Linked DNA regions of Anolis sagrei. The protein of the gene in region 3 interacts with the protein of the main gene of each other region in a biochemical or structural test. Links are inferred from orthologs where the notes say so. Each region holds a gene or a part of one and is shown on either strand. Other genes may lie near its edges. The genes, in order: LIN7C, APBA1, HTR2C and SNTA1.

Region 1 (6,924 bases), on a different chromosome or scaffold from region 3:
ACTCCACCAATGATGGAATTGAACCAAACACACAGAAGTCCCATGACCAACAGAAAATACTGGAAGGGTTTGGTAGGCATTGACCTTAAGTTTTGGAGTTGTAGTTCACCTACATCCAGAGAGCACTGTGGACTCAAACAATGATAAATTAGGACTAAATTTGGTGTGGATATGCAATATGTCCAATTGTGAACACTGGTGGAGTCTGGGGTAAACAGACCTTGGCATTTGGGAGTTGTAGTTGCTGGGATTTATAGTTCGCCCACAATCAAAGAGCATTCTGAACTCCACCAATTATAGATTGGGCCAAACTTTCCACACAGAACCCCATGACCAACAGAAAATACTGTGTTTTCTGATGGTCTTTGGTGACCCCTCTGACACCCCCCTCACAATCCCCCAGGGGTCCCGACCCCCAGGTTGAGAAACGCTGCAATAAAGGCATTTCAATGAAATACTATTAGAATCTTACTGATGTACAAACTGTTAAAAAGTAGAACAGAAATCCCTTTAAGGTGGTTGATTCAGCTGCATCTGCATGGCCATGTATCAGGGAGGCATCTACTGAGGATTTTATGCATCAGGAGAAGTTAAGATTAAACTCTGAGTCTATGATCTCATACATTTTAATTATTTATCTACTGAAATTTTAATTCTCCATTCTTTATCCACGGCTCTCAGGATGACACATAGTAAAATCCATGTTGACAGTTTACAACATTTGAAAATAATAAAAGCAATTCGAATAGACCTAAAACACATTAAAGGATCTGACAAGTTAACACAAGTTTAAAACCAGTCAAAGCAGTTTAAGACCATTTAAACCATGCAAGTGCACAGGTATATCCATTTAATAAACTAGCCCCAAAGGCTCTGGCACAAATGTTTTCTCTTCGTATGGGAGTGCCACCACCACCAGTGCCAAATGGCTTCTAAGAAGGAGAGTACAATTAGCCCTTCACATCCACGCACATTAGGGATCCTTGCAAAAATGGAAAACCACTGCTAAGACTGCTAAACTCTTCCACAAACATGCATCCTTATGGAGCCACCAAGACACTGCTGCCAGATTTTTAATGCCCTTTCTCCAGTCTCCAGTGACTTTCTCTCTTTACTCCTCTTCCTCCCAGTTCTCCTCCCTGGATCACATGTCCTTCCAAAAGCACTGTCAGGTTTTAAACCCCTTGCAACCCCGCAACCCATTCAAGTATCAAGGTTTGTTTTATTACTAGCAACTTGAATTCAGAAAAAAACATACTGGCAGGCAATGCAATTCCTTTAGAAACAGTGTGAGCTGCAAGGCCATGCAAAGCTAATCTGGCATGGGCAAATCTTTTCAGGTGTTGTGGAATTCGGAACTAAAATTGGAAGTTTCCCACTTCCGACTTGGGTTCTGATGTACAATGGTGAGTTGGAAGACCCCTATAGATCCGAAGTGACCCGGGCTATTGATTTCAATGGTTCGGAAGTCAATTCGGATGTCTGACTAAGTTAGCCTGCTGGGAGGTGCAGCCTAAAGTGCTTGCCTCCTAGCCAATCAGGGATTACGTTTGAAAATAAGAGGGGTTATCAACATATGGCTTACTGGCTCATTGCAGGGCAGGGATGAGAGTGGTTGTTGGGTGTTTTTGCTGCTGCTGTTGACTGGGTGGATGGAAGGGGAGGCAAGGCGATAGGCACTGCAGCCCACACTTTGAAGGTTTGAACAAGAGAAGAAGGGAGAAGGGGGGAAGGAAGAAAAGTTTTGGAGAGAGAAAGAGGGAGAAAGAAGATTGAAGAAAACATTTGGGAAGGAGGGAGAAAAAATTAATCAAGCATGAGAAGACTTTGAGTGCTGGGTTTTTTCTTGGGGTTCAAACAGCCTGCCTTTTGCCTTTGCTTGTTGCTTGTGTTGGATAATATATCCCATTAGTCCTACTGCACCCTCGTGGTCTGCCTTCCTCATGCCTGAGGGAATGCATCCAAGTTATTTCTTTTGGGGGGTCCACCAGCCTGCCTTTCGCCTTTGCTTGTTGTGATCCCCTATTACCTTATGTCTTTTCTGAGAAAATTCAAGGAGGCAGCTCTTTTTTAAAAAAAGAAAATATTTTTGCAATTCTTTAAAAAAAACTCTTAAAAATCAGTGGATCATGTGAACATGTTCAAATTTGGTATGCTAACAGAGGAGGATGTGTTCTACCAGTATATCAATAGAATTGGTCTAAAAATGAGGGAGAGAGAAGCCCCTGAAGTTTCCCCAGTGCCAGTGCTGTTTTTCCCTCATTGCGCAATCATGTCCGCCATTAATGAATCAATTTGGAAGTTTCGGAAAGTTTCATTTTTTTAAAAAAAAAAAATTCAGAAGTGACTTTAGATTCAAACCACTAGTGTCCCCTACTTTTGAACACAGTTTAGAACCTTTTATTTTATTTTTTTTAGATGGCCCATGCCTATCAGGGTTGCTAATTGCAACATTCACATTTGCCTCAAACAGAGAGTTCTTTCTTGCACCCTGGACATTCCATCTATCTGTCTATACACATAATAAAAGTAAAAGTGAAAATGTGTCTGTGTGTATGTGGCAAAGATATCCACCTAAAAAAGATAACATCCTGCCTCCTGCAGTGCTAAGGAGCCACCAGAGCTCCTTAGCACTCCCTCCAGGGACATTGCAATGAGCACCATGAACGTGTCCAAAAGCCCTGCCAATGACCTCCACAAACACCATACTGCCCCCCGCTCAAGTGAAGGCTTTCATATTGGAACAATTTCATCCTGGATTTCATGTTTTTCCACCAGAATGGACATCCTAGGATTCCTTTCTCCCTCCATTGCTGTGTAATTTGCATGACCCCACCCACTGCCTCTCCCTTAACCCTTTCCTACCCTTTCGTATGGTTTGGAGAGTAGTTCACCCTGCACCCAGAACACTGAAACCCACCAATGACAGAGCTGGACCAAACATGGCATACAGTACCCTGGTGACCAACTGAATATATTGAAAGGGTTTGGTGGAGGACTATCCCACCTGCGTGGGAGCTGTAGTTCACCCTGCACCCAGAAAGCATCCTGAAGCCCCAATGGGAGATCTAGAACAGTCGCCTTCGGGCTGAGAGTGGCGGTTAACAAGTGCAAATAATAAATAATAAATAATAAATAAATAGAACAAACGTGGCACACAGAACCGTGATGAGCAACAGAACATACTGGAAGGGTTGGAGGGGGAATTACCCACCTGTGTGGGAATTGTAGTTAATCCTACATCCAGAACCCCATCTATGTCAGATCTTGACCAAACTTGGCACACAGATCCAACATGCCCAACGGTGAATAAAGGCAGAGGTTGTTTTTTGGGGGGGAGGGGATTGCCCTGGGAATCTGGGAGTTGTAGTTAACCCTACATCTAGAACCCCATCAATGACAGATCTTGACCAAGCTTGGCACACAGATCCAACATGCCCAACTGTGAATACAGGCGGAATTTGGGGGGGGGGGGGTGATTGCCCTGGGAATCTGGGAATTGTAGTACACCTGCATCCAAAGAAACGGTGACCCTTACTGACAATAAAGCGGAATCAAACTTGGCACAGAGAAGCCCAATGAGCAACCGAACATACTGCAGGCTTTGTGGGAATTGGCCTTGATTGTGGGAGTTGTAGTTCACCTACACCCAGAGAACTCTGTACCCAGCCTGGTGTAGATATACGCCTTGTAACACTTCTCCAGCTCCCAGGACTCCCTAGCATTGAAGCAGGACAGCTACAGTAGCGACAGTAATGTCAGACTGTGTCAATTGCACAGCGTAGCTGCCCCAGGTCCTCTCTTTGCGCGCAGCACGAGACTGAACAGGGGGGAAGCCCTTGGTCAGTTTGCAAAAGGCGCTAAGGCCGTGCAAAGGGCGTTTTGCAAAAGGAAGGGAGGCGGGCCGAGCCCATCCTCTTCCTCGCAGCAGCTCCGCCTCGCCCGGGCGTCACTTCCCCGGGAGGAGAGAGGAAGAGGAGGAGAAGATGGCGGCGCTGGGGGAGCCTGTACGCTTGGAGAGAGGTGAAAACCGAGGGGGGCGGGGGTTGGTGGGGTTTCCCAGCCAGATACTCAGTCAGTCAGTCCGGGGAGGATCCGCAGAGCAAGAGGGGCGCGCGCGCAGGGCGCAGAGCCAGAGCTCTTGTTTACAAGGCAGTCGTTTAAAGGACGGTCGCAGCGCGTGGGGCTGATCAGGAAGCAGCTCTTAGGACCCTTGTCTCCCAGCTAAAGACCCAGTGAAAGTGCAGCCAGTATAGCCCTGATCCTGGATGTTTGGGACCAGCAGTGTTTTGGATGTCTGATAGATAATTCCCCCTCCCCCGCCAGATTTTGGAATATTTGTTGTTAGAGGCAATGCCACTCTGGGTTTTTGTGAGTTTTCCAGGCCATGTTCCAGAAGCAGTCTCTCCTGACGTTTCGCCTGCATCTATGACAGGCATCCTCAGAGGTTGGGGAAGTCTGTTGGAAACTAGGAAAATGGGGTTTATATATCTGTGGAATGTCCAGGGTGAGAGAAAGAACTCTTGTCTGTTGGAGGCAGGTGAGACTGTTGCAATTGACAACCTTGATTAGCATTTAATAGCAGATAGGTAAACCCCAATTGCCTAGTTTCCAACAAACTTCACAACCACGGAGGATGCTTGCCACAGATGCAGGCAAAATGTCAGGAGACAATGCTTCTAGAACGTGGCCATACAGCCCAAAAAACCTACAACAACCCAGACCTCACAACCTCTGAGGATGTTTGCCAAAGATTGAGGTGAAACGTCAGGACAGAATGCTTCTGGAACATGGCCATACAGCCCAGAAAACTCACAACAATCCAGTGCCACTCTGTAAGTAGTTTATAGGCTTACCAGGAAAGGGGGGGGGGAGACTGTTGCCCTAAATTCCTCTATTCCAAGACCACCAGATTTCTGAGAACTCCTTGATTCATATTATTTAATAGTTGAAAACATGACTTCTCTCTGATTCTCTCCCTCGTCATAGTAAGTGCTACAGGTTGAGTATTATCCGAAATACTTGCCTTCAGCATTGGGTGCCTTTTTTTTCACTCTCCAGATTTTGCCATACCTGTTAGTAGCAGTGTCAATGGGGGCATCTACACCAGGAATCTACACTTGGGACCTTCAGGCGTTTTGGACTTCAACTCCCACAACTGGCTGTTTGGAATTGTGGGAGTTGAAATCCAAAACACCTGGAGGGCCCAAGTTTGCCCGTGTCTGATCTACACCATAGAATGTATGCAGTTTGGCACCAGTTTAACTGCTACAGCTCAATTCTATTGGAAGCATGGCAGATGTAGTTTTACAAGTTCTGTAGCCTTCTCTGCCAAAGTGCTGGTGACTCACCAAAATGCAAATCCCATGATTCCACAGCATACAGCCATAGCAGTTAAAAGTGGTATCAGACTGCATTAATTCTACAGTGTAAAAGCACCCGATATCACTCTGTCAGCAGTTTATAAGCTTATATATTAGGAAAGGAGCAGAAACAGACCATCAGATTTCTAAGAACTCATTCATAGAATCATAGAATCAAAGAGTTGGAAGAGACCTCCAGTCCAACCCCCTGCCAAGAAGCAGGAATATTGCATTCAAATCACCCCTGACAGATGGCCATCCAGCCTCTGTTTAAAAGCTTCCAAAGAAGGAGCCTCCACCACACTCCGGGGCAGAGAGTTCCACTGAGAGTTCATTGATTAGTATTATTTAATAGCGCAAACATTTCCACTCTCATATCTTCACTTTCATTGTGTGTATACTATTACAGTAAAAGTAAAGGTTTCCCCTAACATTAAATCCACTTGTGTCTGACTCAGGGGAGTGGTGCACATCTCCATTTCTAAGCCAAAGAGCCGACGTTGTTCATAGAGGCCTCCAAGGTCATGTGGCTAGCATGACTGCATGGAGTGCTGTTACCTTCCTGCCGAAGCGGTACCCATTGATCTACTCACATTTGCATGTTTTCAAACTGCTAGTTGGCAGAAGCTGGGGCTAATAACGGGAGCTCACCCCACTACCCAGATTTGAACCACTGACCTTTCAGTCAGCAAGTTCAGCATCTCGGCATTTAACCTGCTGCACCACTGTGGGTTTCATGTATACTACTACACATTGAGTATTCCTATTCACACATGTTCAAGATCAGAAATGTTTGGGATTTTGGAATAGTTGCATTTGCATGTACATACGTAAGAGGATATCCTGGAGATGGGACCCGTCTAAACATGAAAATCATGTTTAGACTTTACACATAGCTTGAGGATATTTTTTAATAATTTTATATATGAAACCCAATTTGTGTAGACTGAAACATCAATGTTTTTAATCATTTTATGCATGAAACAAATATTGTCCAGATTGATTGAATCGTCCGGAAGCAAAGGTCTCACTATCTCAACCAGATTATTCCAGAGATAAGTGAGGTCCAACCTGTCCTGTATTGGTTTAAGTTGAAGTAGCAAAGTGCTCTTCTATGAAATTAAAATCCATACATTACATGAAATACACAATAGCCCATATACAAATATAGGCCACCCCCCCCCCCCCAATGTATGTACTCTTTAACAGTTAATTGTAGCTATGGTGATTATGAGCTTCCAAATTGATCAAAGGTCTAGAAACGTAGCCCTATGAGGAGTGATTTAGGGAGTTAGGTATGTTTAGCTTGGAGAAAAGGCTGGCAGGGGACATGATAGCCATGTTTAAATATTAGAAAGAGTGTCACATGGAGGAGGGGGCAAGCTTTTTTTTCCTGCTGCTCTGGAGACTATACTATACTGATCACTTAAGTCAGTTTCAAATTGGTATTGAAGAAAATAGTTTTGCTGTGCAGATGATTACATAGGAATTCCTGTCTGAAGCCTAGATGGTGATGACACAAACCACAGAGCACTGATGTACATTAAGGACTTTCTTTTGC
Region 2 (6,876 bases), on a different chromosome or scaffold from region 3:
CACTATGGAAAATTGTTTTTAAGGGAGAATATTGTACGCTTAATTTTATATTGAAATTTGTTGTTCATTCGTTCAGTTGTTTCCGACTGTTCGTGACCTCATGGACCAGCCCATGCCAGAGCTCCCTGTTTGCTGTCACCACCCCCAGTTCCTTCAAGGTCAATCTAGTCACTTCAAGGATCCCATCCATCCATCTTGCCCTTGGTCAGCCCCTCTTCCTTTTTCCTTCCTTTTCCCCAGCATCATTGTCTTCTCTAAGCTTTCCTTTCTCCTCATGATGTGGTCAAAGTACTTCATCTTTGCCTCTATTATCCTTCCCTCCAATGAGCAGTCAGGCTTTATTTCCTGAAGTATGGACTGGTTGAATCTTCTTGCGGTCCAAGGCACTCTCAGAACTTTCCTCCAACACCACAGTTCAAAAACATCTATCTTCCTTCACTCAGCCTTCTCTATGTTCCAGCTCTCACATCTGTAGGTGACTGTGGGAAATAACATATATTGAGATATTGTATATTGAGATATTGTATAGTTTTTAGACTACAGTCTTATGCACACTTTATAAGGAGTAACCTCACTGAACACTGTAGGACTTCTACACAAGCATGCATAGAGTTGAAGTGTTAGTCTTTAACTTCTCTTAAATATTTAACCCAGGCAGTCCCTAAGTTACAAACATCTGACTAATAAATCACCAGTAGTTAAGAATGAGGATGAGACAACAGGAAGTGAGAGAAATCTGCCTCTAGGAAGAAAAGTCCACCATGGGGAAAAGGGGTCTCCACATCCGGGCATCCCCTGGGCAGTGTCCTTCCAGACAGCCAATTCTCTCACACCAGAAGTGACTTGCAGCTTCTCAAATCGCTCCTTACACAGGAAAAAAATGTTTCCACAACAAGCCAAAGTTTTTTAAATCTAATTATCAGACAGAAAATGAGGTGAAATTTGCTGAACAGGGGCACAGACAGCAAAACGATCACCACAATTTGCTCTAGATATATCATCGGTTGGCTTCAGTGTGCTCTCTGGTTGTAGGGTAAACCACAACTCCCACTATGGCGAGTCAGTCCCCTCAAACCCCTCCAGTAGGTTGAGTTAGTCATGTGCATTCTATGTGCCAAGTTTGATCCAGGTCCATCACTGGTGGGGGTCATAGTTTATCTGGTTGTGGATGAACTACAACTCCCAGAAAGAGAGGTCAATTTCCCTCCAAACCTCTCCAGTAAACAAATTTCAGCATGTTGGGTATGTGTGCCAAGTTTGGTCCAGATCCATCGGTGTTTGGGTTCATAGTGCTCTCTGGGTGTAGGTAAGCTACAACTCACCCAAATCAAGGTGAACTTCCCCCAAAGATGTGTGCCAAGTTTGGTCTGATTCCATCTTTAGTGGAATTTAGAGTGCTCATTGATTGCAGGTGAACTATATATCCCAGTACCTACAACTCCTATAAATCATGGTGAATTCTCCCCTCTAGTATGTTCAGCTGCTGATCAATTCCTGTTTGCTGTGTGCCATATAAAATAATAGGAAAGGGTTAAGGGAGAGGCCATGGGTGGGGTCATGCAAATTCCACACCAATGGAGAGAGTAAGAAACAGTGGGATGTCTGTGGAGGAGGAAACACATAACATCTAGGATGAAATTGCCCCCATATGAAAGCATTCACTTGGGTGGTGGGCAGTATGATGTTTGTGGAGGACATTGGCAGGCCTCTTGCACATGTTTAGGCACTCAGTATAACCTGCAGTATTATTGGAGGGAGGGCCATCGGTGTGTCCTGGGTAGTTGGGAGTTAGAGCTGTTTGTGAAGGCAGAAGTTTAGTCTTTATAAGTAGACACTCCAGCCACATACACACATACATATTTTCACTTTTATTATATGTGTGTGTGTACACACACACACACACACATAGAGTTGAAGTCCAAAACACCTAGAGAGTCCAAGTTTGCCCAGGCCTGTATCTCTACAGCAGTGTTTCTCAACCTTCCTAATGCCGCAACCCCTTAATACAGTTCGTCATGTTGTGGTGACCCCCAACCATAACATTATTTTCATTGCTACTTCGTAACTGTAATTTTACTACTGTTATGAATAGTAATGTAAATAACAGATATGCAGGATATATTTTCATTCACTGGACCAAATTTGGCACAAATACCCAAAATTTGAATACTGGTGGGGTTGGGGAGGTGATTGATTTTGTCTTTTGGGAGTTGTAGATGCTGGGATTTATAGTTCACCTACAATCAAAGAGCATTCTGAACTCCACCAACCATGGAATTGAACCAAGCTTGGCACACAACTCCCATGACAAACAGAAAATACTGGAAGGGTTTGGTGGGCATTGACCTTGAGTTTTGGAGTTTTAGTTCACCTATATCCAGAGAACACTCTGGACTCAAACAACGATGGATCTGGATCAAACTTGGCACGGATACTTAATATGCCTAAATGTGAAAACTGGTGGAATTGGGGAAAATAGACCTTGACATTTGAGAGTTGTAGTTGCTGGGATTTATAGTTCACCTACAGAGCATTCTGAATCCCACCAATGATAGAACTGGGCCAAATTTGCCACACAGGACCCCCATGAACAACATAAAATACTGTGTTATCTGATGGTCTTTGGTGACCTCTTTGACAACCCCTCAAGACACCTCCCCCTGGGGTCCCGACCCCCAAGTTGAGAAATGCTCCTCTTGATTTAGGCGATCCCTTATTGTCCAAGTAGGATAGTCCTCCAGGATCAGTGTACTGGCGGTGGGTCTGTAGGTGACTGTGGAGCCCTATTCTTGACTTGCATGTTCTCCCGCAGTGAGGGCATTGCCTTCCAGGTGGAAGGCGGTCTTGGTCAGGGTTGGCTTGACGCACCTTCCTCTTGGCACGTTTTTCTCTTTCCGTGCTTCTTCAAATTCTACAGCACTGCTGCTCACAGTAGACCTCCAACTGGAGCACTCAAGGACCAGGGCTTCCAAGTTCTCTGTGTCTATGCCAGAATTCTTAAGGTTGGCTTTGAGCCCATCTTTAAATCTCTTTTCCTGCCTACTAACATTCCATTTTCCATTCTTGAGTTCGGAGTAGAGCAACTGCTTTGGGAGACGGTGGTCAGGCATCCGGACAACGTGGCCGGACAAATGGAGTTAATGGTGGTCTTTGCTTCTTCCAGCACGCTGACATTTGTCCACTTGTCTTCCCAAGAGATGTGCAGGATTTTCCGGAGGCAGCGCTGATGGAATTGTTCCAGGAGCTGCATGTGACGTCTGTAGACAGTCCACCTCTCGCAGGTGTATAACAGGGTTGGGAGGACAATAGCTTTATAAACAAGCACCTTGGTCTCCCTACGGATGTCCCTACGCTGCTCTACAGCATAGATACAACCCTAGAGGTCTCTCATTGATAGGGCCTATTCTGAAGTCTTTGAGAAAGGGCTAAAAAGGACCTTATGAAACTACAAATCCCAGGAAGCCACAGCACTGGGGCAAACTTCGGCCCTGCAGGTGTTTTGGACTTCGACTCCCACCATTCCTAACAGCCGGTAGGCTGTTAGGAATGGTGGGAGTCGAAGTCCAAAACACCTGCAGGGCCGAAGTTTGGCCATGCCTGGTGTAGCTGGTCAGCGGGCCTAGTCCCTCCTCCTCCTCTTCCTCCTGTTTCCTCCCGCAGCCACATTGTGCTGGCCTTGCTTTGCGTTTGCAGAGATGTCCTTCCTTGCAGCTGCAAGCCTTGCAGCTCCTCCTCCTCATTGCCAGGCCCGGGAGTCACGCGGGCGCCGGAGGGGCGGGCCCAGGGAGGGGCCGGAGGGGCGGGGCTTGCTGGCTTTCCAGCGGGTGGGCTGCGGAGGAGGAGGAGGAGGAGGAGGAGGAGGAAGAAGAAGAGGAGGAGGAAGGAGGAGGGTGAAGATGGTGGAGAGGCGGCCGCAGCGCGCGCGAGAGGGAAAGAGGGCGCGCGCCTGCCTGGGCTCCCTTTTCTAACCTCCGCCTCCATCCAGATCCAGATTCCCCCCTCGATGCGCAGGTTCCCTGGAGGAAGGAAAAAGAAGGTAACCCTCCTCTCTTTTTTTTTCCTTTTGATTTGGGGGCGAGGGGAGAGAAATAATCAATGGGTAGCTCATCAATGGATAAGCTAACAACGGGGATCTTCTAAGAGATGGAAAGGAAGCTGAAGAGGGGCCTTGGGAGGAGGGGAAGGACTTGATGCATGCTTGCCTTGCTTGCCTCTGTATGTATTCAGTGCATGGAACTGGAGGGGAAAGGGATCATCAATGGTGCTGTTGGAGGGGGGAAAAATGGGGATCTCCCTGCCAAGCAAGAGGGCCTGGATGCATGCGGGGGTGTGCTTGCATGCCTCCATAGCAGTGCATTGGAAACCTAGAAGGAGAGAGATTGAGATTGGAGCCTGCTTCTCCTCTGCTCCAGATTTCCCTCCTTACTACAAATAAGCCTTACACCTAAATGGTTGGGAATTGGAGCCCGTTTCTCTTCTACTCCAGAGAGATCTCGCTGTCCTCCAAAATGAATATTTCTTTACACCTGTGTGGTTGGTAATATGGATTGGAGCCCTGTTTCTCCTCAGCTTCCTTCCATATAAATAAAATTGACACCTACATGCTTCATAATAGAGGACAAAATTGGAATCTGTTCCAGGGGAGTGCTCTCTTTCATGAATCAATGCTACTCCTAGATGGTTGGTAGTAGAGAACAGAATCAGAGCCTATGCTTCAAAGGATCTCTCCCTCCATATGAATTAATGTGACTCCTATATGGTTGGTGGTGGAGGGAGACCATAATCGGAGCCTAATTCTCCTCTGCTCCAAAGGATCTCCTCCTCCATGTGAATCAATGTTATATCTATATGGCTGGTAGTTGAGAATAGAAACAGAGCCAAATTCAACGCTGCTCCAAAGGATCTCTCCCTCCATATGAATTAATGTTACACATATATGCGCCAAAGGATCTCCTCCATGTGCTCCTCCTAGATGGTTGGTAGTAGAGAACAAAATCAGAGCCTCTGCTCCAAAGGATCTCTCTCTCTCTCCATATGAATCAGTATTACACCTATATGGTTGGTAGTAGAGGACAGAATCAGAGCCTAATTCTCTGCTCCAAAGGATCTCCTCCTCCATGTGAACCAGTGTTACTCTTGTATGGTTGGTAGTTGAGAATAGAACCAGAGCCTATTTCTCCTCTGCTCCAATTGATCTCTCCCTCCTTATAAATCAGTGTTACACCTATATGGCTGGTAGTAGGTAACTAAATCAGAGCCCATTGCTCCATAGGATCTCTCCATATGAATCAGTGTTACACCTGTATGGCTGGTAGTAGAAAACTAAATCAACTAAATCAGAGAATATTTCTCATTTGCGCCAAAGGATCTCTCCCTCCATATGGATCAGTGTTACTCCTGTATGGTTGGTAGTGGAAAACAAAATCAGAGCCTATTTCTCCTCCTCTCCAAAAGATCTCTCTCTCGCTATGAATCAATGTTACACCTATAGGGTTGGTAGTAGAGAACAGAATGAGAGCCTAATTCTCCTCTTCTCCAAAGGATCTCCCTCTCCATATGAATCAATGTTACTCCTGTATGATTAGTAGAGAACAAAATCAGAGCCTATTTCTCCTCTTCTCCATAGGATCTCTCCCTCCATATGAATCAGTGTTACACCTATAGGGTTTGGAGCCCCTGGTGGCGCAATGAGTTAAACCCCTGTGCTGGCAGGACTGAAGACCCACAGGTCGCAGGTTTGAATCCGGGGAGAGGCGGATGAGCTCCCTCTATCAACTCCAACTCCTCATGCGGGGACATGAGAGAAGCCTCCCAGAAGGATGATAAAAACATAAAATCAACTAGGCGTCCTCTGGGCAACGTCCTTGCAGATGGCCAATTCTTTCACACCAGAAGCGACTTGCAGTTTCTCAAGTCGCTCTTGACACGACAAAAAAAAACAACCCTATAGGGAACTAAATCAGATCCCATTTCTCCTCTGCTCCAAAGGAACTCTCCCTCCATATGAATCAGTGCTACTCCTATATGGTGGGTAGTAGAGAACAAAATTAGATAAAATAATAATAAAACTTTATATATATTCCACTCTATCTCTCCAAAGGGACTCAGGGCAAATTCCAAATATAAAAGGCAAACATTCAATGCCTGAATACAACAATACATCCATACTAACAAAATTTATACAACCCAACATATAAATACGAATTATAACTTAACAAACTAAATTAAATAAAAAGCACAGCCTATTATAATAGACATAAACAGAACATCAAACATCAAATGGAAACAATAATTTCCCATTTCTTTGGGGCAAATCGATTAGAGCCTTTTTCTCCTCTGCTTCAAAGGATCTCTCCCTCTATTTGAAATCAGTGTTACACCTGTAGGATTGGTAGTCGAGAACTAAATTAGAGCCCATTTCTCCTCTGCTCCAAAGGGACTCTCCTTCCATAGGAATCAGTGCTACTCCTATATGGTTGGTAGTAGAGAACTAAATCAGAGTCTATTTCCCCTCTGCTCCAAAAGATTTCTCCCTCCATATGGATCAATGTTACACCTATATTTATTTATTTACAGTATTTATATACCGCTTTTCTCACCCCTGGAGGGACTATATGGTTGGTAGTAGAGAGCAAAATGAGAGCCTATATCTCCTCTGCTCCAGAGGATCTCTCTTATTGAATGTTTGCCATTTTTGTCTTTGGAAGCTGCCTTGAGTCCCTTTGTGGAGAGAGAGCGGGTTAGAAATAAAGTATTATTATTATCATAATCCATAATAATAATAAATTGCACACCTGTATGACTGGTAATAGACCTCCCCCACTCCCCAGATACATTTTGCACCTACATGGTTGCGAACAGAGAACAGAATTGGGA
Region 3 (7,258 bases):
GCGCAGTGGGTTAAAGCGCTGAGCTGCTGAGCTTGTTGACCGAAAGGTCGCAGGTTCGATTCCAGGGAGCAGGGTGAGCTTCCGCTGTCAGCCCCAGCTTCTGCCAACCTAGCAGTTCGAAAACATGCAAATGTGAATAGATCAATAGGAACCGCTCCAGCGGGAAGGTAAGGGCGCTCCATGCAGTCATGCCGGCCACATGACCTTGGAGGTGTCTATGGACAACGCCGGCTCTTCGGCTTAGAAATGGAGATGACCCAGAGTCAGACATGACTGGACTTAAAGTCAGGGGACAACCTTTATTAATCATAATAATCAAACATGAATATCCTATTTGAAAGAAATCTTCCCAACCCTACAATGGGAGAGAGTCTTACAATATTTTGTCCTATCAAGGCTCTTAACAAGCATGTGTGTATGTGTATACTGTATATGCTGTATATGTGCGTGTTTACATAAAGTATACAAAGGTGACCTAATTGTATAACATTTATCATAATCTTGCCTTTCTTTTTGTCAAGGTATTTTTAGTCACTCAATGCCATTACGTATAGATTATGTATGTAACCATGATACACTATAAAATGCAATGCATCTTTCTGTACTTCATTTGTATTTGAAAAGTTCGCCCCTCCTCTTTCCTCTCTGCAAAGTCTTTTACTGTGAAATAAGTTTTGCACCTCTTCTCAATTCGGCCTTAGGTTTTCAAAGGCCAGGAATCTCTAGTGGTGCCTTTGCCAGCTTTTTCCTTTTACAAAGTTCCATTTCCCATCAGAAAGGGAACAAGGTCGGGAGGGCTTTGTGTTTTCCCTGCTTGGCAGCAAGAAGGGGTCACTGAGAAAAACCCTAATATCACAAAGGACTATCACCTCACCCACTCAATATGCCCAGATGTGAACACTGGTGGAGTTTGGGGAAAATAGAATCTTGACATTTGGGAGTTGTAGTTGCTGGGATTTATAGTTCATCTACAATCAAAGAGCATTCTGAACCTCACCAAGGTTAGAATTGGGCCAAACTTCCCACACAGAGACCCCCATGACCAACAGAAAATACTGTTTTCCGATGGTCTTTGGTGACCCTTCAGACACCCCCTTGTGACCCCTCTAGGGGTCCCAACCCCCAGGTAGAGAAACACTGATTTGAAGGCTTTGAAACAGAGGCTGGATGGCCATCTGTCGGGAATGCTTTGTGTTTTCTGATGGTCTTTGGTGACCCCTCTGACACCCCCTTGCGACCCCTCTAGGGGTCCCGACCCCCAGGTTGAGAAACACTGATTTTGAGGCTTTGAAACAGGGGCGGGTGGCCATTTGTCGGGAATGCTTTGTGTTTTCTTTTCTTTTTCTTTTTTTGTTTTGTTAAAACTGTTTATTTTGATTATGGTACATAACAGAAAAGCAAAACATGGCAGATAAAATAAGGTACCACTATTTTTGACGTGTACATGCCTATCTACCTTATTCAATCAATCAGTTAATTTTGTCATTAATTACAAATTATTATCATTTACATATCTTAATACACATAGACTTGCTATTTCTGCCTGTTTTCCACTGCTTTCAGTCAGAGCTTTGTATTAAATTTTTTCCATAACACTCAGGAAAACAGCACATGGCATTTTACACACATACCACAGACCTTACACTCATCTCAAAACCCCTATCCTAAACAAAATAAACCCTCATCCCCACACCCGTGCACCCTTCACCATGGCTTCCCACACCGAAACACTATGAAGCCTTTAAGCCTATTTATCTCTCCTTATTCATGGTAAACCTAAATTCCTAATGGAGCTCCTCTATATTGTTCATTCGTTCAGTCGTCTCCGACTCTTCGTGACCTCATGGACCAGCCCACGCCAGAGCTCCCTGTCGGCCGTCATCACCCCCAGCTCCTTCAAGGTCAGTCCAGTCCCTTCAAGGATGCCATCCATCCACCTTGCCCTTGGTCGGCCCCTCTTCCTTTTGCCTTCCACTTTCCCCAGCATAATTGTCTTCTCTAGGCTTTCCTGTCTCCTCATGATGTGGCCAAAGTACTTCAACTTTGTCTCTACTATCCTTCCCTCCAATGAGCAGCTGGGCTTTATTTCCTGGAGGATGGACTGGTTGGATCTTCTCGCAGTCCAAGGCACTCTCAGCACTTTCCTCCAACACCACAGCTCAAAAGCATCTCTCTTCCTTCGCTCAGCCTTCCCTAAGGTCCAGCTCTCACATCCGTAGGTTACTACAGGGAATACCATGGCTTTGACTAGGCGGATCTTTGTTGCCAGTCTGATGTCTCTACTCTTTACTATTTTGTCGAGACTGGACATTGCTCTCCTCCCAAGAAGTAAGCGTCTTCTGATTTCCTGGCCTCTATATTACTGACTCTCTATTCAGATATGCCATGGCCAACTTCCATTTTTCTAGAAAGTCCTCATTACTCTTATTCCTCCTGTTATAAGTTAGTCTGGCCATTAGCATATATTCTCGCATTCTTTCTCTCCAATCCTTTTTGGTTAGACCTTTTCCCCCTTTCCAATCTTTGGCTATGGTCAATCTTGCCGCTGCAAAGCTATATTGATATATTTCTTGGTCCTTTTGATTATTGTTTTCTCTCTGTAGACCTAGCAGACACAGTCCTGGGCTTTTTTTAAATCTTGTTATGTAACATTTTATTTGTCTCCTTAATTACCTTATCCCAAAATTCCTGTATGATCACACAGGTCCACCACATGTGGAGGAATGTCCCTTTCTGTTTCCTGCACCTCCAGCAAATACCTTGTTGTGATTTGTCTATTTTAGCCAATGTTGCTGGAGTGATATAACACCTATAAAACATTTTGTATTGATTCTCCCTGATTGAACCCGATGAAGTAAATTTGAATACTTTGTTCCATAGGTATTTCCATTTGTCCAGTTCTATTGGTCTGCCTAGGTCCTTGGCCCAGGATAACATTACTGTCTTGACTCTGTTGTTGTCCATGTTATAGCTTAGTATGTATTTGTATAATCTAGAGATTAACCCTTTATCCCCCTTTTCCCATGCTTTATGTTTTCTGATGGTCTTTGGTGACCCCTCCGACACCTCTAGGGGTCCTGACCCCCAGGTTGAGAAACACTGATTTGGAGGCTTTGAAACAGAGGCTGGATGACCATCTGTTGGGAATGCTTTGTGTTTTCTAATGGTCTTTGGTGACACCCCTGACATCCCCTTGCGACCCCTCTAGGGGTCCTGACCCTCAGGTTGAGTAACACTGATTTGGAGGATTTGAAACATAGGCCAGATGGCCATCTGTCGGGAATGCTTTGTGTTTTCTGATGGTCTTTGGTGACCCCTCTGATACCCCCTTGCGACCCCTCTGGGGTCCCGACCCCTAGCTTGAGAAACACTGATTTGGAGGCTTTGAAACAGAGGCTGGATGACCATCTGTCGGGAATGCTTTGTGTTTTCTGATGGTCTTTGGTTACCCCTCTGACATCCCCTTGCGACCCCTCTAGGGGTCCCAACCCCCAGGTTGAGAAACACTGATTTGGAGGTTTTGAAACATAGGCCTAGTCCTTGGAGACTAGGATGCGGAACAATGGCTTCAAACTACAAGAGAGGAGATTCCATCTGAACGCGAGGAAGAACTTCCTGACTGTGAGAGCCGTTCAGCAGTGGAACTCTCTGCCCTGGAGTGTGGTGGAGGCTCCTTCTTTGGAAGCTTTTAAACAGGGGCTGGATGGCCATCTGTCAGGGGTGATTTGAATGCAATATTCCTGCTTCTTGGCAGGGGGTTGGACTGGATGGCCCATGAGGTCTCTTCCAACTCTTTGATTCTATGATTTTATGAATGTGTCCAGAGGAGGGCGACTGAAATGATCAAGGGTCTGGAGAACAAACCCTATGAGGAGCGGCTTAAAGAGCTGGGCATGTTTAGCCTGAAGAAGAGAAGGCTGAGAGGAGACATGATAGCCATGTATAAATATGTAAGAGGAAGTCACAGGGAGGAGGGAGCAAGCTTGTTTTCTGCTTCCCTGGGGACTGTAGTGGAGGCTTTTAAACAGAGGCTGGATGGCCATCTGTCAGGGGTGCTTTGAATGCAATATTCCTGCTTCTTGGCAGAATGGGGTTGGACTGGATGGCCCAGGAGGTCTCTTCCCACTCTAGGAATCTATGATTCCTCAATGTGGGAGCCGTTCCAATCTGTCCCTATCAAGACTGAGGATGGGCGAATCCTTCTTTGCAGGCGGGAGAGATCCCTCCTAGCAGCCCAGCTCCTCCTCGAAGCAGCCCCCCCCCCTTTTCTCTCTGGAGGGAGGAAGCAGGGCTGCTGCTTTTGGAGGTGGTCGAGGAGGCGCCTTTAAGACGCGGAGAGGCGCTTTCCCCCGCTCTCTTCCTCCCTCCCTCCTTCCCTCCTTCCCTCTTTCCTTTGGTGGGTCACTCACTCATCCCCACTGGCGGCTGGAGAGAGGAACGGAGCCGCTGCTTCTCTCTGCCTCTTCCTTTCCCTCTTTTGTGGGGCGGCCATGGCCAAGAGGAGCCCCCAAAGGAGAGCCCCCCAAGCGTTGGGCGACAACCCTGCCAGGTAGGCTCCCGCGTCGGGTTTGGCTAGGAAATAGCCCTACGTTTGCCTCTTTTCGCGGCGCTGCAAGGGAAGGAAGGACTGAGTGATGGATTTGGGGGCATCCCTGGTGTGTGAATGCGGGCAGGAACGCGTGTCTCTCGCCTCCTTGCGCTTGGAGGCGCATTGCTTTGCGAGGTTTGGGGGAGGGTGATTCCTACAGGTTGCTTTCCCTCCCTCCCTCTGTCTCTTTCCCTCTTGGAAGAGCCACACTTGGAGGAATGAAGAGCTGGGTTGCTGTTTTCCGGGCTGCGTGGCCATGCTCCAGAAGCATTCTCTCCTGACCGTTTGCCTGCATCTATGGCAAGCATCTTCAGAGGGTTTAATGTATTGTCGAAGGTTTTAATGGCCAGAATCATTGGGTGGTTGTGTGTGTTTTCCGGGCTGTATGGCCATGCTCCAGCTGTATGGCCATGCTCCAGAAGCATTCTCTCCTGACCTTTTGCCTGTATCAATGGCAGGCATCTTCAGAGGGTTTAATGTCTTGTCGAAGGTTTTAATGGCCAGAATCATTGGGTTGTTGTGTGTTTTCCGGGCTGTATGGCCATGCTCCAGCTGTATGGCCATGCTCCAGAAGCATTCTCTCCTGACATTTCGCCTGCCTCTGTGGCAGGCATCCTCAGAGGTTAATACAGAAAACACACAACAACCCAATGATTCCCGCTATGAAAGCCTTCGAGAATACATTGAACCCTCTGAGGATGCCTGCCATAGATGCAGGCAAAAGGTCAGGAGAGAATGCTTCTGGAGCATGGCCATACAGCTGGAGCATGGCCATACAGCCCGGAAAACACACAACAACCCAATGATTCTGGCCATTAAAACCTTCGACAAGAGGGCCATACAGCCCGGAAAACACACAACAACCCAGCTATTCATTTCATGTATTGTCGAAGGCTTTAATGGCTGGAATCACCGGGTTGTTGTGTGTGTTTTCTGGGCTGTCTATCCATGCTCCAGAAGCATTCTCTCCTGATGTTTTGCCTGCACCTATGGCAGGCATCCTCAGAGGTTAACACAGAAAACACACAACAACCCAGTGATTCCTGCTATGAAAGCCTTCAACAATACATTGAATCCTCTGAGGATGCCTGCCATAGATGTGGGCGAAAGGTCAGGAGAGAATCCTTCTGCAACATGGCGATACAGCCCGGAAAACACACAACAACCCAGCGATTCATTTCATGTATTGTCGAAGGCTTTCATGGCTGGAATCACAGGGTTGTTGTGTATGTTTTCCGGGCTGTATGGCCATGCTCTAGAAGCATTATCTCCTGACGTTTCGCCCGCATCTATTGCAGGCATCTTCAGAGGATATGTGGCTATGTAGCCCGGAAAACACAACAACCCACTGATTTCGGCTATGAAAGCCTTCGACAATACATTGAACCCTCTGAGGATGCCTGCCATAGATGTGGGCGAAAGGTCAGGAGAGAATGCTTCTTCAACATGACCATACAGCTCAGAAAACACACGCAACAACCTAATGATTCTGGCAATTAAAGCCTTTGAAAATACATTGAACTGTCTGAGGATGCCTGCCATACATGCAGGCAAAAGGACAGGAGAGAATGCTTCTTCAACATGGCCACACAGCCCGGAAAACACACCTAACAACCCAATGATTCTGACCATTAAAGCTTTTGACAATACACTGAACCCTCTGAGGATGCCTGCCATAGATGTGGGCAAAAGGTCAGGAGAGAATGCTTCTGGAGCATGACAATACAGCCCAGAAAACACGCACAACAACCCAGTGATTCCAGCCATGAAATACATTGAACCCTCGGAGGATGCCTGCCATAGATGCAGGCAAAAAGTCAGGAGAGAATGCTTCTGCAACATGGTCACAAAGCCCTGAAAACACATACAACAACCCAGTGATTCCAGCCGTGAAAGCCTTCGACAATACATGGAACGAATAGCCATGGGAAGGCTCTGCAAGCCAACAGGAAGCCTACCTTTCCCTCCAAGAAGCCCTACTTGGAGGATGATGGGACTTCAGGAACGAGGGGTCCTTTCAGTGTATACTTCCTCACCCCCAAGGCATCCCAGTGGCTCTCTTGGCCCTTCCAGGACACCGTAGTCTTAATTGAATTGTGAGTCTTAATTGAATTGTGAGTTTTCTGTGCTGTGTGGCCATGTTCCAGAAGCATTCTCTCCTGACATTTCACCCACATCTATGACAAGCAACATCAGAGGTTGTGAGGTCTGTTGGAAACTAGGCAAATGAGGTTGATATATCTGTGGAAGGTTCAGGGTGGGAGAAAGAACTCTTGTCTGCTGGAGTCAGGTGTGAATGTTGCAATTAATCACCTTGATTAGCATTGAAAAGACTTACACCAGTAGACTGGAACGGGTTCATTGCTGGGATAGAAGAAAGAAGCCCAGGCACCAATTGGAGGATCTTGGAGATGCCAAAACCATTCCTTTGGGGGGTTTCGGTGAGGTACACCAAAGGGACACACAACCCAAGCTCTACAGTGGAAACATTTATTATTATTATTATTATTATTATTATTATTATTATTTTCTAATATTTTCTAATATTTTCTAACACAACCAAGCCTTTACTGGCATACACCAACACAATCACAACAAAGCAAGTGGAAGTCGCAGATAAAAAGGAACATAATGTACCCTCGAAGGCTTTCATTGCTGGAATATTGGTTT
Region 4 (7,813 bases), on a different chromosome or scaffold from region 3:
ATAGGAATTTGTACTATATTTGACACAAAATGTTTATGACAAATGTTTATTCAGTTCTTCATCCATGGAACATGGATCAGTGTTCCCCAAATGCCTCCATCCTTACAACCATCCTGTGAGATAACACGTGAGCCCTGGTTATCCCATGAGCTCCATAGCCAAGTGCTAATTTGAACTTACAGACCCCATATGATACTAATTACTATACTAATTGGTACTGAGCCCCCGGTGGCGCAGTGGGTTAAACCCCTGTGCCGGCAGGACTGAAGACCGACAGGTCTCAGGTTCAAATCTGGGGAGAGGCGGATGAGCTCCATCTATCAGCTCCAGCTCCTCATGTGGGAACATGAGAGAAGCCTCCCACAAAGATGACAAAAACATCAAAAATCATCCAGGCGTCCCCTGGGCAACGTCCTTGCAGATGGCCAATTCTCTCACACCAGAAGCGACTTGCAGTTTCTCAAGTCCCTCCTGACACGACAAAAAAAATACTAATTGGTAATAATAATTAGTCCCCTGGTAGCGCAGAGGGTTAAATCACTGAGCTGCTGAACTTGCTGACCGAAAGGCTGGTGGTTCGAATCTGGAGAGCGGGGTGAGCTCCCGCTGATAGGCCCAGCTTCTGTCAACCTTGCAGTTCAAAAACATGCAAATGTGGGAAGGTAGCTTGTGCTCCATGCAGTCATGCTGGCCACATGACCTAGGAGGTGTCTATGAGCAATGCCAGTTCTTTGGCTTAGAAATGGAGATGAGCACCCCCTAGTCAAACACGACTAGACTTAATGTCAGGGGAAACTTTTACCTTTACTTCACTATACTAAGCTCTCCAAATTTTCAAGATAATGAGGAAAATACATTTTCAAACTCAAATGGGGAGTTCCAGCTGTAAAATGTCATGGAAGCTGCTTGCTCTTAACATTTGTTATTGGCACAACAAAGAGCTACTATTAAGGTTAGTGACAAACAACAAGTGTACCTATTTTCCTCTGACAAATGCATCTGCCTGTGGCAGGCCATTCAAGGAGGGAAACAGAACAATCCACAGGGAATGTAATGTCGAAGGCTTCCATGGCTGGAATCACTGGGTTGTTGTAGGTTTTTCGGGATATATGGCCATGTTCTAGAAAAACCTACAACAACCCAGATCCACAGGGAGTTTTCTCCTAGCGGAGGACAGACCTTCTTGTGGTAATTCAGACCATGTTTACACTGCCCAGTAACATTATGTTTTTGGGAGTGGTGTACAGAAAGAAAAATAAAACCACAGAAATATTTCCTGAAGTGCAAAACATTCTAAACACGGAATCTAAACAATAGCAGCAACAGAAGCACCCACCGTCTATACAAGTCAAAAGAATTCTTGAAAAGGATTGTTTTCATTTTATCAAGACTTTTCAGTGTTTGAGCTCTGTTAGAAGGGCCTTTTCCTCTCTTGCTGATCAATATGTTGTGGAAAGATATGGGGGTGGGGGGTGGGGGAGCACCTCAATTGTGGAATGCCCTTCTTTTGGAGGACCAATGAAGGCTTCATTTCAGCACAATGTCAACCATGGCTGTTTATTAGTACCTTTGGAGCCATGTTGATTTATTTCTAACACATTCAAGCCCATAGCTAGAACGTTTTAGTATTTTAAATCTATTTTTGACTCGTTGAAAGTGTTGAATATATATTTTAGTCTGTTTAAATGAGGACTCTTGTTTTAAAGAGTTTTAAAATTGGTGTAACGCAGGCAAACCTATGCCCTCCAGTTGTTTTGGACTTCACCTTCCACAATTCCTAACAGCCTCAGGCTTTAGTGGCTGAGGGGAAAAGGAAAGGGCCCGAGGCTGTTAGGAATTGTGGGAGTTGAAGTCCAAAACACCTGGAGGGCCCAAGTTGGCCCATGTCTGGTTGAACGTGTGTATCACTCTGAGATGTTATAGGGCAAAATAAAGTTGCCCCTCATCATATTGGGTTTTTTAAAAGACTGTTTGAATTAGGTTCATTGATTTGAAGAGTTTTAAATTGATTTGACTTGTGTGCCACCAGGAGATCTTACAGGGCAGTATATATTTGTGGGTTTCTTTTGTGTGGATTTGATTATTATTTGTGAGTTTTTAGCTCTGCCACCTTGCCCCTCTCTGCCTGCCTTGTTTGGGGCCATTTCAGGCCCCTGGGCATCTCCAAAGGCGACGCAATGGGTTAAACCCTTGTGTCAGTAGGACTGCTGACTGAAATGTCAGTGGTTTAAATCCAGGGAGCTTCCATCTATCAGCTCCAGCTTTTCATGCAGGGACATGAGAGAAGCCTTCCACAGGATAGTAAAACATCTGGGCGTCTCCTGAGCAATGTCACACCAGAAATGAAAAAAAAATCTCCAAATCTCCAAAGGTCAAGCAGACAGATCCCTACTCTTCCACCAGATATCTTGGCTGCATCTATTCCACCTGTCAAATTCAAGGCCCAAAGGCCTAACTATTTTATGTGACCCTCTTCCAGATGGACTACAATTACTGCATCCCTCATCCCTCATTTAAACATGACTAGGCCTGATGGGAATTGGGACACAGTAAAATTGGGAGGCTGCACTTTGTTCTGTTTAGTCAGGACAGTAGAGTTTGAATTTAGCTCTTGCTCCTGCCAACCTATCAGTTCAAAAATATGCAAATGTGAATAGATCAATAGGTATCGCTTTGACGGGAAGGTAATAAAGGCGTCCATGCAGCCATGCCAGCAACAAAACTAGGTGGTGTCTATAAACAACAGGCTACTCAGCTTGGAAATGGAATAAAAGTAACTCCCTGTGGTCAGCATTGAACGCTGCTTCCCAAAACTGGAGATGAAAGGGAAAGCCTGTAAAATAGTTCAAGAATTCTGGAAAAAGGTGGTGAAAGAAACAAACAATATGATTAACAAAAAGGTCAAGGAAAACCCAGAAATGTGGTTAGTAGGACTATTTAGAAGGTGTATTTGCACAAGAAATGAAGAAATTTATCAATATTGCTTTGTTGCTGTGAGACTAATAATAGCTAAAACATGGAAGGGTGGAAAAAGAGTTCGCTATCAAAGATTGGAGAGATAAATTAGTAGATTCTATCCAAATGGCCAAGCTGACAAATAGTAGCAGAGGAAGAAATAATGAAGGATTTGCAAACAAATGGAGGCTGGCACTTGGACATCAGGAAAAGAAGACAAAGGTAGATTTGAAGATTTCCACAAAGAGATTTTATGAAAGAAGACATATGGGTAGTTGCTGGGTAGTTATGTGATCCACATTGAGGGGCGTCAGACACCATGGGGGTTGGATTCACGGATGTGGGGTTAGATGGATAAGAAATGGGGTTAGATGGATAAGAATGCTCTTTGATTGTATGTGAACTATAAATCCCAGCAACTACAAACGTCAAGGTCTATTTTCCTCAAACAACACCAGTGTTCACATTTGGGCATATCGAGTATTTGTGCCAAGTTTGGTCCAGATCCATCATTGTTTGAGTCCACAGTGCTCTCTGGATATAGGTGAATTATAACTCCAGAACTCAAGATCAATGGCCCACCAAACCCTTTCAGTACTTTCTGTTGGTAGAGGGAGTTCTGTGTGCCAAGTTTGGCACAATTCCATCGTTGGTGGAGTTCAGAATGCTCTTTGATTGTAGGTGAACTATAAATCCCAGCAACTACAACTCCCAAATGTCAACATCTATTTTCTTCAAACAACACCAGTGTTCACATTTGGACATATTGAGTATTCATGCCAAGTTTGGTCCAGATCCACCATTGTTTGAGTCCACAGTGCTCTCTGAGTGTAGGTGAACAACAACTCCAAAATTCAAGGTCAATGGCCCACCAAACCCTTCCAGTATTTTATGTTTGTCATGGGAGTCACTGTGCCAAGTTTGGCCCAATTCCATCGTTGGTGGAGTTTAGAATGCTCTTTGGTTGCAGGTGAACTATAAATCCCAGCAAGTACAACTCCCAAATGTCATGGTCTATTTTCCTCAAACAACACCAGTGTTCACATTTGGACATATCGAGTATTTGTGCCAAGTTTGGTCCAGATCCATCATTGTTTGAGTCCACAGTGCTCTCTGGATGTAGGTGAACTACAACTCCAAAACTCAAGGCCAATGGCCCATAATAATAATAATAATAATAATAATAATAATAATAATACTTTATTTATACCCCGCTACCATCTCTCCATGGGACTCGGTGCGGCTTACATGAGGCTGAGCCCGTAATACATCAATACAAGCAATAACAGACACAATACAAGGCCCACCAAACCCTTCCAGTACTTTCTGTTGGAAGAGGGAGTTCTGTGTGCCAAATTTGGTTCAATTCCATCCTTGGTGGAGTTCAGAATGCTCTTTGGTTGTAGGTGAACTATAAATCCCAGCAACTACAACTCCCAAATGACAAAATCAATCCTCCCCCATCCCAGTGGTATTCATATTTGGGCGTACCAGGTGCCAGATTTGGTCCAGTGAATGAAAATACACCCTACATCTCAGATATTCACATTATGATTCATAACAGTAGGAAAATGACAATTATAATGTGATGTTTGGGGGTCAGCACAACCTGAGGAACTGTGTTGAGGGGTCGCGGGGCATTAGGAAGGCTGAGCAACACGATGCCGTTTGTCACCCCTGGCACTGCTTTACTTAGCTCGACGCTGTGGCATCAGGGCAGTTGTCATTGGGCGAGACCTTGCCCAAGTGCGGCTCCCGGGATTCCAGGGCATGGAGCCTTAGCAGTGCAAAGCGGTGCCAACCCGCGTTGGTTCCTCGGTGTGGAGGCGCGGGGCGGGAGGCGCCGGGGGCGTTGCTCGGTGGGCGGAGAGGCGGAGAGGCGGCGGGGCTGGAGCCGGAGTCCGTCCACCGAAGGCAGAGCGAGGAAGCAAGGAAGGAAGGAAGGGAGAGAGGGAGGAAGGAATGCGCTGAAGATGGCGGCCGGGCGGCGGGCGCCCAAGAGCGGCTTGCTGGAGCTGCGGGCGCCGGGCGAGCAGTGGTTGCGGGTCCTGCTGGCTCTTTCCGAAGACTTCTTGAGCGTCAGTCCCGGCGGAGGAGGAGGAGGAGCGGGGAAAGGGCCCGAGGAGACGCCGCCGTCCAGCCCCGGGCAACTGAATGGCGGGGACCCGCCGCCCGCCCTGGTCCCGGACGCCCTCACCAACATTAAGCGCACCGTCCGGATCGTCAAGCAGGACGTGGGCGGCCTTGGCATCAGCATCAAAGGTGGGTCTCCTTCTCCTCCTCTTCTTTTCTGGGGCTCCCCGAGAGGTCGCTCTCTGCCCGTTCTCCCCCTTGATCGCCTAGCTAACCTTTCACCCTCTGGAGCCCCTTTTAAACCTGCTTTCTTTAGTTTAGCCCCTTGCCAACGGGATCCGGACTAAGTTTGTTTCCTTCCCAGCTGCGCCAGGAAAGCGCTGGAGGAGAAGTCCCCCCTTGGAAGAAGTTCCCGAGAAGAGAAGGAAAGGGGGAATTGCCCTTGAGAACATGGGAAAGTGAATTTTCCAGGCTATGTTCCAGAAGCATTCTCTCCTGACGTTTCGCCCACTTCTGTGGCAGGCATCCTCAGAGGTTGTGACGTTGAAACGTCAGGAGAGAATGCCTCTGGAACATGGCTTTACAGCACGGAAAACTCACAACAAGCCAGTTGTGAGGTCTGTTGGAAACTAAGCAAGTGGGGTTTATATAGCTCTGGAATGTCCAGAGTAGGAGAAAGAACTCTTGTGTGTATTGCCAAGGCTTTCATGGCCGGAATCACTGGGTTGTAGGTTTTTCAGGCTGTATGGCCATGTTCTAGAAGCATTCCATCTGATCATTAGGAAGAACTTCCTGACTGTGAGAGCAGTTCAGCAGTGGAACTCTCTACCTCAGAGTGTGGTTGAGGCTCCTTCTTTGGAAGCTTTTAAACAGAGGCTTGATGGCCATCAGTCAGGGGTGCTTTGAATGCAATTTTCCTGGTTCTTGGAAGGGGGTTGGACTGGATGGCCCATGAGGTCTACTCCAACGCTATGATTCTATTAATGATTCTAGATCATGGCCATACAGCCCGAAAAACCTACAACAACCCAACTCTTGTCTGTTTGAGGCATTTGTGAATGTTGCAGTTGGCAAACTTGATTAGCCCTGAATAGCTTGGAAGCTTCAAGGCCTGGCTGTTTCCTGCTTGGGGGGATCCTATGTTAGGAGGTGTTAATATCAATCAAGCTGGCCAATTACAACATTCACACTTGCCTCAAACAGACAAGAGTTGCTTCTCCCACCCTGGACATTCCACAGATATATACAACCTCACCTAGTTTCCTCACAATCTCTGAGGATGCCTGCCATAGATGTGGGTGAAACATCAGGAGAGAATGCTTCTGGAACATGGCCATACAGCCTGAAAAACCTACAACAACCCAACTCTTGTCTATTTGAGGCAAGTGTGAATGTTGCAATTGGCTACCTTGATTAGCATTGAATAGCCTAGAAGCTTCAAGGCCTGGCAGTTTCCTGTCTGGGAGGATCCTATATTGGGAGGTGTTAATACTAATCAAGCTGGCCATTTGCAACATTCACATCTGCCTCAGACAAAAATTCTTTCCCACCCTGGACATTCCACAGATAAATAAACCCCACTTGCCTAGTTTCCAACAGACCCCTCAACCTCTGAGGATGCCTGCCATAGATTTGAGCAAAACGTCAGGAGAGAATGCTTCTGGAACATGGCCATACAGTTCCAGAAAACTCACAGCAACCCAATTGTGAGGTCTGTTGGAAACTAGGCAATTTGGGTTTATATAGCTCTGGAATAATATCCAGGGTGGGAGAAAGAACTCTTGTCTGAGGCAAGTGTGAATGTCGTACTTGGCCAGTTTGATTAGCATTGAATAGCCTGACAGCTTCAAGGCCTGGATGTTTCCTGCCTGGGGGGATCCTATGTTGAGAAGTATTAATACCAATCAAGCTGGCCAATTGCAGCAGACAAGAGCTCTTTCTCCCACCCTGGATATTCCACAGATATATAAACCTAGTTGCCTAGTTTCCTCACAACCTCTGAAGATTCCTGCCATAGATGTGGGTGAAATGTCAGGAGAGAATGCTTCTGGAACATGGATATACAACCCAGAAAACTCACAGCAACCCAGTGATTCTGACCATGAAAGCCTGCGTCAACACCATGGAGGTGTCTAGAGACAATACTGGCTCTTCGGCTTAGAAATGGAGATGAGCACCAACCCCAGAGTCAGACACGACTGGACTTAATGTCAGGAGAAAACATTTACTCAAAGCAGCCAAAGAGGAAGCTAAGGACCTTTTTGAAAACTGCAACCCCCGGAATTCCATAGCATTGAGCCTTGGCAGTTAAGGTGGTGTCAAGCTGCTTGCAGTGTTGATTCCCCCTTGGAAGGCCTTGCCTTCCTTCACCCTTCCTGCCCATCCCAGGCATCCCAAGCACTTGCCATATGCCTCTTTCTCAGGCAAAGGGTGTTGCTTGAGCTTCCCACCCAAGGAATGGTGCTGGGTAGGGATGTTCAGGCTTCCCTGCGGATGTGGGATTGCAGTGACATTTCCACCCAGAAAGTGCACCTGTGGATTCCGATTTGTGTGAACCCATTCTTGAGTGTGTCTTCTTCAATCTGAACTGTGATTTCATTACAAAATGTACTGTCACTGCCACTTATATATAGAAATCATGTTTTGTAGAATATATATAAAATTAATATATAAAAATAATAATGATTATATATATATCTTACTCCTTTGGAACCACATACAATCAAATCTCAGGTTCTTAGTTGTGGTTTTATAGTGTGCCTTCTGAAGGTTAAAAAGGTCGGAA

The links.
Region 1: the proteins of HTR2C (region 3) and LIN7C form a complex in vitro, tested with the Homo sapiens proteins (2 studies listed by BioGRID and IntAct, with this or other methods). The link is inferred for Anolis sagrei from reciprocal best matches to the Homo sapiens genes HTR2C and LIN7C.
Region 2: the proteins of HTR2C (region 3) and APBA1 form a complex in vitro, tested with the Homo sapiens proteins (2 studies listed by BioGRID and IntAct, with this or other methods). The link is inferred for Anolis sagrei from reciprocal best matches to the Homo sapiens genes HTR2C and APBA1.
Region 4: the proteins of HTR2C (region 3) and SNTA1 interact in a test that uses a peptide from one of them, tested with the Homo sapiens proteins (2 studies listed by BioGRID and IntAct). The link is inferred for Anolis sagrei from reciprocal best matches to the Homo sapiens genes HTR2C and SNTA1.

What each region holds. Positions count from the first base shown.
Region 1 is NC_090021.1:260,813,141-260,820,064, forward strand, and holds the start of LIN7C (protein lin-7 homolog C), read left to right. Parts: upstream 1-3,918; 5' UTR 3,919-3,986; coding exon 3,987-4,023; intron 4,024-6,924. UniProt on the Homo sapiens protein: Plays a role in establishing and maintaining the asymmetric distribution of channels and receptors at the plasma membrane of polarized cells.
Region 2 is NC_090022.1:222,038,589-222,045,464, reverse strand, and holds the start of APBA1 (amyloid-beta A4 precursor protein-binding family A member 1), read left to right. Parts: upstream 1-3,856; 5' UTR 3,857-4,036; intron 4,037-6,876. UniProt on the Homo sapiens protein: Putative function in synaptic vesicle exocytosis by binding to Munc18-1, an essential component of the synaptic vesicle exocytotic machinery. May modulate processing of the amyloid-beta precursor protein (APP) and hence formation of APP-beta.
Region 3 is NC_090030.1:22,079,855-22,087,112, forward strand, and holds the start of HTR2C (5-hydroxytryptamine receptor 2C), read left to right. Parts: upstream 1-4,240; 5' UTR 4,241-4,549; intron 4,550-7,258. UniProt on the Homo sapiens protein: G-protein coupled receptor for 5-hydroxytryptamine (serotonin).
Region 4 is NC_090024.1:208,951,787-208,959,599, reverse strand, and holds the start of SNTA1 (alpha-1-syntrophin), read left to right. Parts: upstream 1-4,809; 5' UTR 4,810-4,928; coding exon 4,929-5,217; intron 5,218-7,813. UniProt on the Homo sapiens protein: Adapter protein that binds to and probably organizes the subcellular localization of a variety of membrane proteins. May link various receptors to the actin cytoskeleton and the extracellular matrix via the dystrophin glycoprotein complex.